Linked DNA regions of Macaca fascicularis. The protein of the gene in region 1 interacts with the protein of each later gene in a biochemical or structural test. Links are inferred from orthologs where the notes say so. Each region holds a gene or a part of one and is shown on either strand. Other genes may lie near its edges.

Region 1 (3,648 bases):
ATATCCTTCAATCTTCCTGATGGGACAGAAATATAAAGGAACTTTACTTTTAAATGACAACCTAATAACTGTTAATAACATGACATTTTAGTTGTGCATCCTGTATGTATGTCATTGGTGCTAATGGCTTCCACTTCTAAATGACAAAAATTTGAATCCTACCATCCCTATTGGTAATTAAAACAAACACTAAAGCTTACAATAAAGTAATGCAACCTCTAAGACTGTAGCAACAGAGAAATTTTAGTGGAGTTTCCACTCTTTCCTAAGTAATGGAAGAAAATGAAGAATCCAGAAAGGTCAGACTAAGCCTGAAACACAATTTCACTATGAAAAAAGGGTAACAAAATGTCCCATCAGAGCGAGAGGAGTTAAAAATGTGGCATCGGGAGTGTATCAGACTGAGGCGCTGTTGTGGGCTAGGTCTTTGCTTCCAATGAGTCAAGAAGGACCTAGAAAGGAGCTATGAGGTGCTTCTTTCCTTTATCTTTCTGGGCTGGCAGCAAATGATCAATTACTTCCCGTAGAACTTTTTGTTGAGAAGGAAGATCAGGAGGTTGACATTTACTTTAGCTCTATCAAATAATTTCATGACTGCAACTCCTTCATATTGTAGCTGCAGCAGGTCCTATTAACAAAACAAAACATTTTGACAGTTAATCAAGTCTGTGGAACAAGGAAAAAGGACACAAGGTAGGGAGGGCTCCAGATGGACTGAGGCCTGCCTTGTGTGCCAGATGTGAACTGGGGTGAAAGAAAAGTTCCTAGCTAGGAAACTACCCACTGCACAACCAGCCTGAGAGCTGGAGCAATAGGGCGCACTGGCCAAAAGGCTCTTCTGGTTGATTTGGAGTTAGGAAGTCATGTTGTTCATATCAAAATTCATCATACATGGAAAGAAAAAGAAACATGTTCAGTTGCCACACACACCTAAGCTTTTTATTTCAGAAGTCACAATGACATTTTCGCATTTCATCCATGTTATGGGTCACTAGTTTTAATAAATCTGGAAAAGGTGAAGATTAAACCTACGATAAAATATACTAAGCATGGGAAATGAGACAAGGCTGGTAATGTCACCTCAATACTATCTGCTAGATTCTTAATTTCTTTTTTTTTTTTGAGATGGAGTCTCGCTCTGTAGCCCGGGCTGGAGTGCAGTGGCCGGATCTCAGCTCACTGCAAGCTCCGCCTCCCAGGTTTACGCCATTCTCTGGCCTCAGCCTCCCGAGTAGCTGGGACTACAGGTGCCCGCCACCACGCCCGGCTACTTTTTTTTTTTTTGTAGTTTTTAGTAGAGACGGGGTTTCACCGTGTTAGCCAGGATGGTCTCGATCTCCTGACCTCGTGATCCGCCCGTCTCGGCTCCCAAAGTGCTGGGATTACAGGCTTGAGCCACCGCGCCCGGCCCTAGATTCTTAATTTCTATTCCACATAAGAACACTCACTTTTTTTTTTTTTTTTTTTTTTGAGACGGAGTCTCGCTCTGCCACCCAGGCTGGAGTGCAGTGGGGCAATCTCAGCTCACTGCAAGCTCCGCCTCCTGGGTCCATGCCATTCTCCCGCCTCAGCCTCCCGAGCGGCTGGGATTACAGGCACCCACCACACGCCCGGCTAATTTTTTGTATTTTTAGTAGAGACGGGGTTTCACCGTGTTAGCCAGGATGGTCTCGATCTCCTGACCTCATTATCAGCCCACCTCGGCCTCCCAAAGTGCTGGGATTACAGGCGTGAGCCACCGCGCCCGGTAACATGAGAAAACTTTTTATCCTGAAGGCAAGGAGAAAAGAGAGAACTTGATGTTTTATTAGGTGTCTGCCATGTGCTTGGTATTGTGTAAGCACATTATATAGCATCTTTTAAAAGTCTTCACAAAAATTTTTATGAGGTGCGATCATCCTAATTTTAAAGATGAGCTATCGAGGCTCTGAGATGTTAAATGACTTGCACCACAGGACAGAGATGGACGTGGTAAATCCAGATCTGACTGCAATGCTCTTGCTTTTCCTGTTACTTTCGCCATTGTCCTGAACAAGTTTAAGAAATCTGAGCATTCTCACTTCTAAACTTTAGAAAAATGGTGATGAGAAAGCAAGGGTCAAAAGGCTTGAAAGGACCCCACAAGGCCGGGTGCGGTGGCTCACGCCTGTAATCCCAGCACTTTGGGAGGCTGAGGCAGGTGGATCATGAAGTAGGGAGTTAGAGACCAGCCTGGCCAACATGGTGAAACCCTGTTTCGACTAAAAATACAAAAATTAGCTGGGCATCCGGCGTGGTGGCACACGCCTGTATTCCCAGCTATTCAGTAGGCTGAGGCAGGAGAGTCACTTGAACCCGGGAGGTGGAGGTTGCAGTGAGCCGAGATTGCGCCATTGCACTCCAGCTTGGGCAATAAGAGCGAAACTCTGTCTCAAAAAAAAAAAAAAAAAAATTAGCCGGGCGTGATGGTGCACACCTGTAATCCCAGCCACTCAGGAGGTTGAGGCAGGACAATCAGTTGAACCCAGGAGGTGGAGGTTGTAGTGAGTGGAGATCACACCACTACACTCCAGTCTGGGCGACAGGGTGAGACTCCACCGCTCCCCCACCCAACCGCAAAAAAAAAAAAAAAAAAAAAGAAAGGACCCCACAAGTTCAATCATCTGCTGGAAAAATCCTAGCAGCTCCATGAAGGCTGCTGGCACCTGTGCCTAACATAATACCCCACACCTGGCAGTCACCCCACATTTAATGAATTTGTACATAAATTAATAAATTACCATAGGCAGACTGGTTGGCCTAACACAATTTGGTTAAGAAATTTAAAAATAAAAATATGTTCTGATAACTCCACGTAAATAAAATAAAAAAATTTTAAAATTAAAACAATAACAATTTGGTGAACTGAGGGAATGAGGTTCCTTTTTTTTTTGGTGGAAGTATTTCAGTTAGCTGTGTGCATCACAAAATCATTTCACATTTGTTTAGCTAACATGTTTTAATGGTCTACTGGTCACTGACAAGGAAACGAAGATGACTAAGAAATGCTACCTGTCCTTAAGGAGTTTATGGCTTTAGCGGGGAGAGGGGAAGTAAGTCAACACCTACTGTAAACAGAGGATGTCTGCAAAGGCTACAGAAGTGAAGGGGAAACCACCTATTATGGCTTGGCTGGGGGAGGTACACACATGGAAGTACTTGACAAATGATGGAGGAACAAAAGGGGTGGGGTTGGAAGGCAGGGGAGGGGAGGGAGGGCAGCATGAGCAGAAGTCCAAATGCACATTCACAGGAAGGCACCTGCCCAGGCTGGCAGGGCATGGCTGTGTGAAGCAGTGCAAGAAAGGAGACGGGAGCAGACTAACTGGTGCCACACACACAAAGCTAAAGGAGTCTGGACGTCACCTAGGAATCCTCTCAATGCCCTGCTATTTTTTAACGTGTAAAAATCAGATATTTCAAAATAAAACTTAGGGATCTTTATGCTGTAAAAATGAATTACTCCCGAGTTCTTTTTGGATTTAAGATAGGATGTGGTTTACAAACATAAACTTTACACACACCTTGTCAGAAGTGCATCTAACCTTTAAGTACCTACATCAAATCAAAATGAGAAAAAAATTTCAAGCTACTGAGTGGACTTACAATTTTGCAATGTCAGCATGTGTA
Region 2 (3,648 bases), on another chromosome or scaffold:
TATGACTTGTCACAATGTCACCACATTACATACTTACCATGCCACTTTCCCTTGTAGACTGTTCCAAATGAACCAGATCCAATTCTTTGTCCCACTGTAATCTGCCCATCAGGAATCTCCCAATCATCACTCGAGTCCCGTCTACCAAGTGTTTTCTTGATAAATATAGTACAAAAGTCAAGTCAAACCAAACAAAAAAAGAAAACCTTATGTTTCACTCTTTTTTAATTGGTGCTAAATTTCTTTATGTATCATATCTAATTCAGTCTTTCAAAAAAAAAAAATCAACATATAAAAGTACTTTGGTAGAGTAAAAGATCCACTTATTCAATAATTAGTAACAATACTATGGCTAAAAAGTATTAGTTTTTTATTTTATTTTTAAATTTTACTTTAAGTTCTGGGATACATGTGCAGAATGTGCAGGTTTGTTACATAGGTATACATGTGCCATGGTGGATTCATTTTGCAGAAGAAAGTTGATTTTTTAAATAGTGAAGAATGTCCTTCGGTAGATATCTGAATTCTGGACCAGCCTTTTCATGCCTTCTAATACTAGTTTTCTCTCTTTTTCCTTATTTTAGAAGCAGAACACTGTTACTCTTCCAAAACTGCCTTCTACTAAATTATATTACAGATGACAGCAGAAAGCAGTGCTGTGGAAATATGCTTTAAGCAAAAAACTATCAGCTCTGAAATTTAATTATGGGAGTTCTGTGTCACATATGGACATAATATATCTAAAGGATAATATTACATTTGGCTATGACTTCTAAGAAGACAGACAGAGAAAAAAAGATATTATATACTCTTACCATTCGATTCCTGTCTTCTGAGGATGAAGATGACTTCCTTTCTCGCTGAGGTCCTGGAGATTTCTGTAAGGCTTTCACGTTAGTGAGTGAGCCAGGTAATGAGGCAGGGGGGGTGGCAGACAAACCTGTGGTTGATCCTAAATTAGTGATAAGAAAAATGTATACATTAAGGAGGAGCAAGTATGTTAATTTATCAGGGGTAGAAGGTTGGGGGATATTTAGACTTAATTTTAAAATGTAGTGCATATTTAAATATAGACCTTTTGGAAAGGATGGGACAAAAAAAAGGGGGCCTCATTTGGTGATTACAACTATAATTTCTTTTAGTTTTCTGGCCAATTTAATGACCTTTAAGATATCTGATGATAGATACATACTTTGTTTCCTGGTACAAAATCTAGGAGAAAAACAATCTCTCTAAAACAAGATAGAAATACTAAAAATACTCCCAAGTTTCTGTTTCTTTGATGAAAAAAAAATCAAAAAGCAAAATCAATGTAAATGCCTATATAACAAATACACTTTTAATTAATTATTTAATATTACCTCAACAGCCAATCAATATAAAAAAAAAAGGAAATCCCCAAATGGAAACATTTTCTAATAATGGCCATAATGTTGAAAATATCTGACTTATTCATATTAATCACTAAACTCAAATACAATCCTAAACTACATGCTCTACTATTTAAGAGATATTGGTCAGTATCATTGGTTCCTAGAGGCTTACATTATTAAACAAAGATTATTTGTTACCTGCAAAACAAAGTTAATGTAAATAAAGCCAGCCATATTTCTCAAGACTTTCTGAAAAATCTCTGCCTTTGTAAGTGAGAGCTTTGTAAGTAAGCGCTATGGCCTCTCCGCTGAGTTACTATAAATACAAATATTCTATAGGTCAGGTGAGCCTGAGGAGTATACTCTTTGGAAGTGATCTCCGTTGGCAGGGTTGCATACCTTTCTCATGGCAAACATCCTGAGATAAGGTACAGTAGCACCTGGTTCAGAAGGGTTCAGGGCAGTGAATCTTACTGGGGCCTGAATACGGCTGAGTAGAACTCAGATGTCCAGGTAATAGTTCTATATACAGAACAACAAAATGACCTCAAGAAAATAGATTCTTTTTAAAAAATGACTGCTACTCTTAAGGAAAAAAAGAGTCACTATCTTTCAGATAACAAGGATACCAATAACCACATTTAAATGTTAAATCTGTAGAAAATATTTACTATTATTACATCATATTATATCACCATGTAGAATTTTCATGATCTCATATGCAATTTTCTAAAATAAAATGGTGTCCAGAATGTCTATTAAGTAGAGCACAATCCATTTTCTACCTCCCATTGATAATTTTCAACATTATAAAGCCTTAACTGCTTCACCAGGCTTCACAGTTATGATCTACTAAGTAGTTTTATTGTATCACTTAATTGTGTTACTCACTACTGTATGACTTCCATCCCATTCTATGGATTTTCTGAGAAACAGCAGGGCTGAGAGAGCAAATATCTAAAGCACCATTACTACATTCAGAATATGTAACAGATACTAACTAGCAAGAGTCAGTAAATATAAATCTTTAAAAATATTTATAGCAAGACATCTGTCCCAGCTTTGACTTAAGTTTTTTTTTTTTTTTTTTTTTTTCCAGATGGAGTCTCACTCTGTCGCCCAGGCTGGAGTACAATGGTACGATCTTGGCTCACTGTAACCTCCGCCTCCTGGGTTCAAGTGATTCTCCAGCCTCAGCCTCCCAAGTAGCTGGGATTACAGGCACCCGCCATCATGCCCGGCTAATTTTTTTGGTATTTTTGTAGAGACGGGTTTTCACCATATTGACCAGGCTGGTCTCGAACTCCTGACCTCAGGTGATCCATCCACTTTGGCCTTCCAAAGTGCTGGAACTACAGGCGTAAGCCACCGCGCCTAGCCCAACTTAAATTTTTACAAATCAGTTTAACCACTAAATAAAACAGCAAGATGAAATGGGAGAATGAAATTATACTGTAAACTTTCTTCTATTAGGACATAATTAAAAGGATAAATCCTCAAATTTCTGAAGTACACTGAAATATCTAAAATATGTTATAAATCTTTTTTTTTTTTTTCTTTTTTAACAGCTCCCTACCTTTGACAAAAATACACACATCCCATATTGGAGGAAAGAAAAACCCAAAAAACACAGCTAGTATTACAGAATCTGAAAAAAGGCCAAAAGCCTAATAAAATCTCATAATAGAAGTTTCCACTGACACTTCAATTTTCTTAAAAACCACAAAAATTATTAACAATCATAAACCATCAAGAATAATCACTTAAATGCATTAAAATCAAAGGAATCCAGTAAGCGCTTCCCCACCCACCTTATTTATTCCCACCCACTAAGTTTAACAAATTATCAAGACCAGGAAGTAATAAAATAACAAAAAACAAGATGGAAATCTCAGGTCAGGATTTTCTTGCTTTTAAAAATTTATGACAGACAGCATACAGAAAGCTTGTGGCAGTGAGTATGTGTGAGAAGCACATTCAGAGCATTCCAGCCAGGCCAAGCAGAAATTTAGTACTGAAAACTTTCACACTTACAAACACACGCTGTGAGGGTGAGGCACAAACAGCATCTGTAGTTTTATATTTAGTTTGCTTTGGGTGAAAACAAGAAAGAAGAGCCCAACTACCTCTGAACACTGGGCCAGGCTCAAAATCAAACACTATTTCACTGGGGACAGAATGTAGGAGGGGACTGGGAGTCCGGGATTGGTATTTCCGAAGACAGCGCATCAGCTGGTTCAAAGGGGCTGTTAGAAGAGAAAGAGAGGGGCAGGCA
Region 3 (4,373 bases), on another chromosome or scaffold:
TTTTTTGTGTTTTTAGTAGAAACGGGGATTCACCACATTGGCCAGGCTGATCTCGAACTCCTGACCTCACGTGGATCCGCCCAGCTTTGCCTCAAAAAGTGCTGGGATTACAGGTGTGAGCCACCACGCCCGGCCGGCAACACATTTTTTTGACTGAATGGACATGGTTATTGCTGAATAAAGGTATGGTGTATGATTTTATTCTTCCTTATAGTTTTAGATTCTGAATTTCCTAAAAGGACCTAATGTCATTGCACATAGTTATTACATGAAGATAACGAAACGGGGGGTGGAAAGCAGTGCCCTCCGATGGCCCCGAGCAGGAGTTAGTGACAGGGAGCGTGGCTCCTGCAACCACAGTCCCTCTTTTTTTTTTTTAAGACGGACTCTCACTCTGTTTCCCAGGCTGGAGTGCAGTGGTACGATCTCGGCTCACTGCAACCTCTGCCTTCTGGGTTCAAGCGGTTCTCCTGTTTCAGCCTCCCAAGTAGTTGGGATTAAAGGTGCCTGCCACCACATCCGGTTAATTTTTGTATTTTTTATTTATTTATTTTTTGAGACGGAGTCTCGGTCGGTATCCCAGGCTGGAGTGTAGTGGCGCCATATCAGCTTGCTGCAACCTCCACCTCCTGGGTCCCGGTTCAAGCAATTCTCCTGCCTCAGCCTCCCGAGAAGCTGGGATTACAGGCACACGCCACCATGCCCAGCTACTTTTTTTATTTGTTATTTTTAGTAGAGATGGGGTTTCACCATGTTGGCCAGGCTGGTCTTGAACTCCTGACCTCGTGATCCACCTGTTTCAGTTTCCCAAAGTGCTGGGATTACAGGCGTGAGCCACCATTTTGTATTTTTTTTAGTAGAGATGGGGTTTCACCACGTTGATGAGACTGGTCTCGAACTCCTGAACTTGTGATCCACCCGCCTCGGCCTCCCAACCAAAGTGCTGAGATTACAGGCGAGAGGTGAGCCACGGCGCCCAGCCACCACAGGTTCCTTTTTTTTGAGACGGAGTCTGGCTCTGACTCCAGGCTAGAGTGTAGTGGCGCCCTCTCAGCTCACTGCAACCACCGCCTCCCAGGTTCAAGCAATTCTCCTGCCTCAGCTTCCTGAGTAGCTGGGACTACAGGTGCGCGCCTCCACGCCCGGCTAATTTTTGTATTTTTAGTACAGACGGGGTTTCACCATGTTGGCCAGGATGGTCTCAATCTCTTGACCTTGTGATCCTCCCTCCTCGGCCTCCCAAAGTGCTGGGATTACAGGCGTGAGCCACCGCGCCCGACTGACAGGTTCCTCTTAAAGCCTAAACCGTGAACCCCAGGGAAAGGACCTGCAGGTCCGGCCACGCCCAGGCCTCCTTAGCGCGCCAAGATGGCGGCCGCCGCGCCCCGCGGTCGGAGCCGAGCGGTCCCGAGCGCTTCCGAGCATTCCCGAAGTCCAGAGAAACTCCGGGAGCGGCGCGGGCGGGAGCGGCCCCGCCCGGAACCTGGGAGCGGCGACGCCGGCGCGGGGGAGGGGAGGCCGGATGTGAGTGGAGCGGCCATTTCCTGTTTCTCTGCAGTTTTCCTGAGCTTTGGGTGGTGGCCGCTGCCGGGCTTGAGCTTCCAGTCCGCGGAGGGCGAGGCGGCGTGGACAGCGGCCCCGGCACCCAGCGCCCCGCCGCCCTCAAGCCGCGCGCTCGTCCGCCGCGCCCCGAGCCCGCCGCTTCCTATCTCAGCGCCCTGCCGCCGCCGCCGCGGCCCAGCGAGCGGCCCAGATGCAGGCCATCAAGTGTGTGGTGGTGGGAGACGGGTGAGTGCGCGGCCGGGGCCGGACTGGGGACGGCGGGGTCGGGCGCGGGCGGGGGTCTGGCCCGGACTGAGACCCAGGCAGGCAGGCCGCTCGCTGCGGGCTCGCGTAGGCGGTGGGCCTGGGCCTGTATCGCGGGGCGGGGGCCGCGGGCTGGCGCCCCCACTGGACCCTGACTTCCCGGGCGGCGCGTGCCAGGTTCCGGCTCTGGATGGAGGAGGGCCTTGCCGCTCGCCGGCCGGAGGGAAAAGTGAACTCCACCCTCCGGCTTTCTTCCCGGACGCCGCCCGCCGCCCTCCTCGGGAGCGCTCGTAGAGGAAGCGCTCTTGGAGATTTTGACCATTTTTCCAAAAAGGGACTCTTTCTTGTTTTTTGCATGAACCTCTCAATTCGCCTTGAGAGCTGTGTTGGGAACGCGGCGGTCAAGTCGATATTTGATGCATGCTTGATTGTGCGGGCCTCTTTGGTGCCCCCAAACTTTTCTTTAGAAAAACATATTTTTTTTCATAGACCGGTTCTCGCTGTGTTGCACAGGCCGGTCTCGAACTCCTGGGTTCAGGCGATCCTCCCATCCCAGCCTCCCAGAAATGCTGGGATTACAGGCGTGTGCCACCACGCCTGGCTAATCTTTAAAACTTTTTGTAGAAATGGGGGTTGGGGGTCTCGCTGTGTTGTCCAGGCTGGTCTCGAATTGCTGCGCTCAAGTGATCCTCCTGCCTCTCAGCCTCCAAAAGTGCTGGGGTGACACCGCGCCCGGCTTCTAAACTTATTTTCGAGCAGGATTTTTCAACTTACACTTCTGCCACTGTTAGGATTCTTAAAATTGTTGTTTTCGCGTATTCCGTGGAGAAAGTTTTTAAGATGCTGGCTGGGAGGAGCCGGCTGTAAGGGGCACTGTTTTTTCTTTTCTTTCTTTCTTTCTTTTTTTTTTTTTTTTTTTTTTAACGTGGTGTGGTCATTGATAAACTGTTCTTTGCTTAACGCGTTAGGTATGGGATGTAGCAGAACTGGCCCCCTGTGACTCCAGGCATTGCTTTTCATGACTGTCTGTGGTGGTTACAGGCCCTGGAGGAAGACAAGACTTGTCTTATGCAGTTTTTTTCTCCCATAGAAACAAGAATCTCAGTGTAACCCAAGCAAAATCGCGCGTCTCAGCGTTGCTTGTATAGGTTAGTGTTAGCAAGGAAGAATTACTACCAGTTTAATAAAACTCAGTGCAACTGGTACATGTTCCAGTAAAGTCCAAGGCAAGCTCTGGCATCACGGTTAACTGGTTGATATTCTTCAAACTTGTCATTAGGACAGATTTTGGTTCTTGCAATTCAGATGCAAGAAGGATAATTAGACAACTGATTTTTGTAAGATGCCCATCTGTCATATTTGTCTTGGAAATGTGAAATAATATTAATGCCTCATAATTCTGTTTATATAATAACTAAAAATTCTAACTTTCACTTATTTAAGAGTATGTAGGCTATCCAAGGGTTTTTTTTTTTTTTTTTTTTTTTGAGACGGAATCTCATTCTATTGCCCAGGCTGGAGTGCAGTGGCACAATTGCGGCTCACTGCAACCTCCGCCTCCCAGGTTCAAGCGATCCTCCTGCCTCAGCCTCCCTAGTAGTTGGGATTATAGGCATGCGCCACCGTGCCAGGCTAATTTTTGTATTTTTTAGTAGAAACGGGGTTTCACCATGTTGGCCAGGCTGGTCTCGAACTCCTGACCTCAGGTGATCCACCCGCCTGGGCCTCCCAGAGTGTTGGGATTACAGGTGTGAGCCACCGCGCCCAGCCCAATTTTTTTTTTCTTTCTTTCTTTTTTTTTTTTTTTTGAGACAGGGTCTCACTCTGTTGCCCAGCCTGGAGTGCAATGGCGCTCTCTCTGTTCCTGCAACCTCTGCCTCCCGGGTTCAAGCAATTCTCATGCCTCAGCCTCCCAAGTACCTGGGATTACAGGCACACATCACCACACCCAGCTAATTTTATTTATTTATTTTTTATTTTTTTGGTAGAGATAGAGTTTCGCCATGTTGGCCAGGATGGTCTCAAACTCCTGACCTCAAGTGATCCCCCCGCCTCGGCCTGTTTTTTTTTTTTATAAGTCATATTGCTGATAATTATTTGAAAAATGCTGAAACTAAAACATAAGCATAGCAGATACGTTTATTTAATACTAACCGATTAAGGACCTCTGCCGTTTGAATTGGCTGTTTTATCTAGTCAGATAACTTGTCGAATGCCTATCCTGGAATCTGGACCCTCCCTTCAAATACCCACTCCACCGCTTACATGGGGTAACCCTAAGCACATCCCCCACCTCCCAGGAGAGGTGGTTCAGTGGGAGGTCAACAAGAGTAAACAAGATGTTGGTTAACTACTTTGCAGGTGCCCCTTGCTGAGTGCTTAGTAAGTGCCTGGTACTGTTACTGCGGTTTCTACTACAGAGGCTCTGTGAGGGAGTATTAGGTTTAAAAACCTGTGGCCTTGAGTTTTCAGTCTGTGTTTTTTTTTTTAATTAGTTATGAGCATTTGATCAAGCACAGTTTTGTTTTGTTTTTTTTGAGACAGAGTCTCGCTCTGTCGCCAGTTCT

The links.
Region 2: the proteins of IQGAP1 (region 1) and BRAF form a complex in vitro, tested with the Homo sapiens proteins (2 studies listed by BioGRID and IntAct). The link is inferred for Macaca fascicularis from reciprocal best matches to the Homo sapiens genes IQGAP1 and BRAF.
Region 3: the proteins of IQGAP1 (region 1) and RAC1 form a complex in vitro, tested with the Homo sapiens proteins (3 studies listed by BioGRID). The link is inferred for Macaca fascicularis from reciprocal best matches to the Homo sapiens genes IQGAP1 and RAC1.

What each region holds. Positions count from the first base shown.
Region 1 is NC_088381.1:75,037,310-75,040,957, reverse strand, and holds part of IQGAP1 (ras GTPase-activating-like protein IQGAP1), read right to left. Parts: intron 629-3,648; coding exon 515-628; 3' UTR 1-514. UniProt on the Homo sapiens protein: Plays a crucial role in regulating the dynamics and assembly of the actin cytoskeleton.
Region 2 is NC_088377.1:182,452,091-182,455,738, forward strand, and holds part of BRAF (serine/threonine-protein kinase B-raf), read right to left. Parts: intron 3,620-3,648; coding exon 3,500-3,619; intron 953-3,499; coding exon 816-952; intron 156-815; coding exon 38-155; intron 1-37. UniProt on the Homo sapiens protein: Protein kinase involved in the transduction of mitogenic signals from the cell membrane to the nucleus. Phosphorylates MAP2K1, and thereby activates the MAP kinase signal transduction pathway. Phosphorylates PFKFB2.
Region 3 is NC_088377.1:45,992,321-45,996,693, reverse strand, and holds the start of RAC1 (ras-related C3 botulinum toxin substrate 1), read left to right. Parts: upstream 1-1,546; 5' UTR 1,547-1,753; coding exon 1,754-1,788; intron 1,789-4,373. UniProt on the Homo sapiens protein: Plasma membrane-associated small GTPase which cycles between active GTP-bound and inactive GDP-bound states.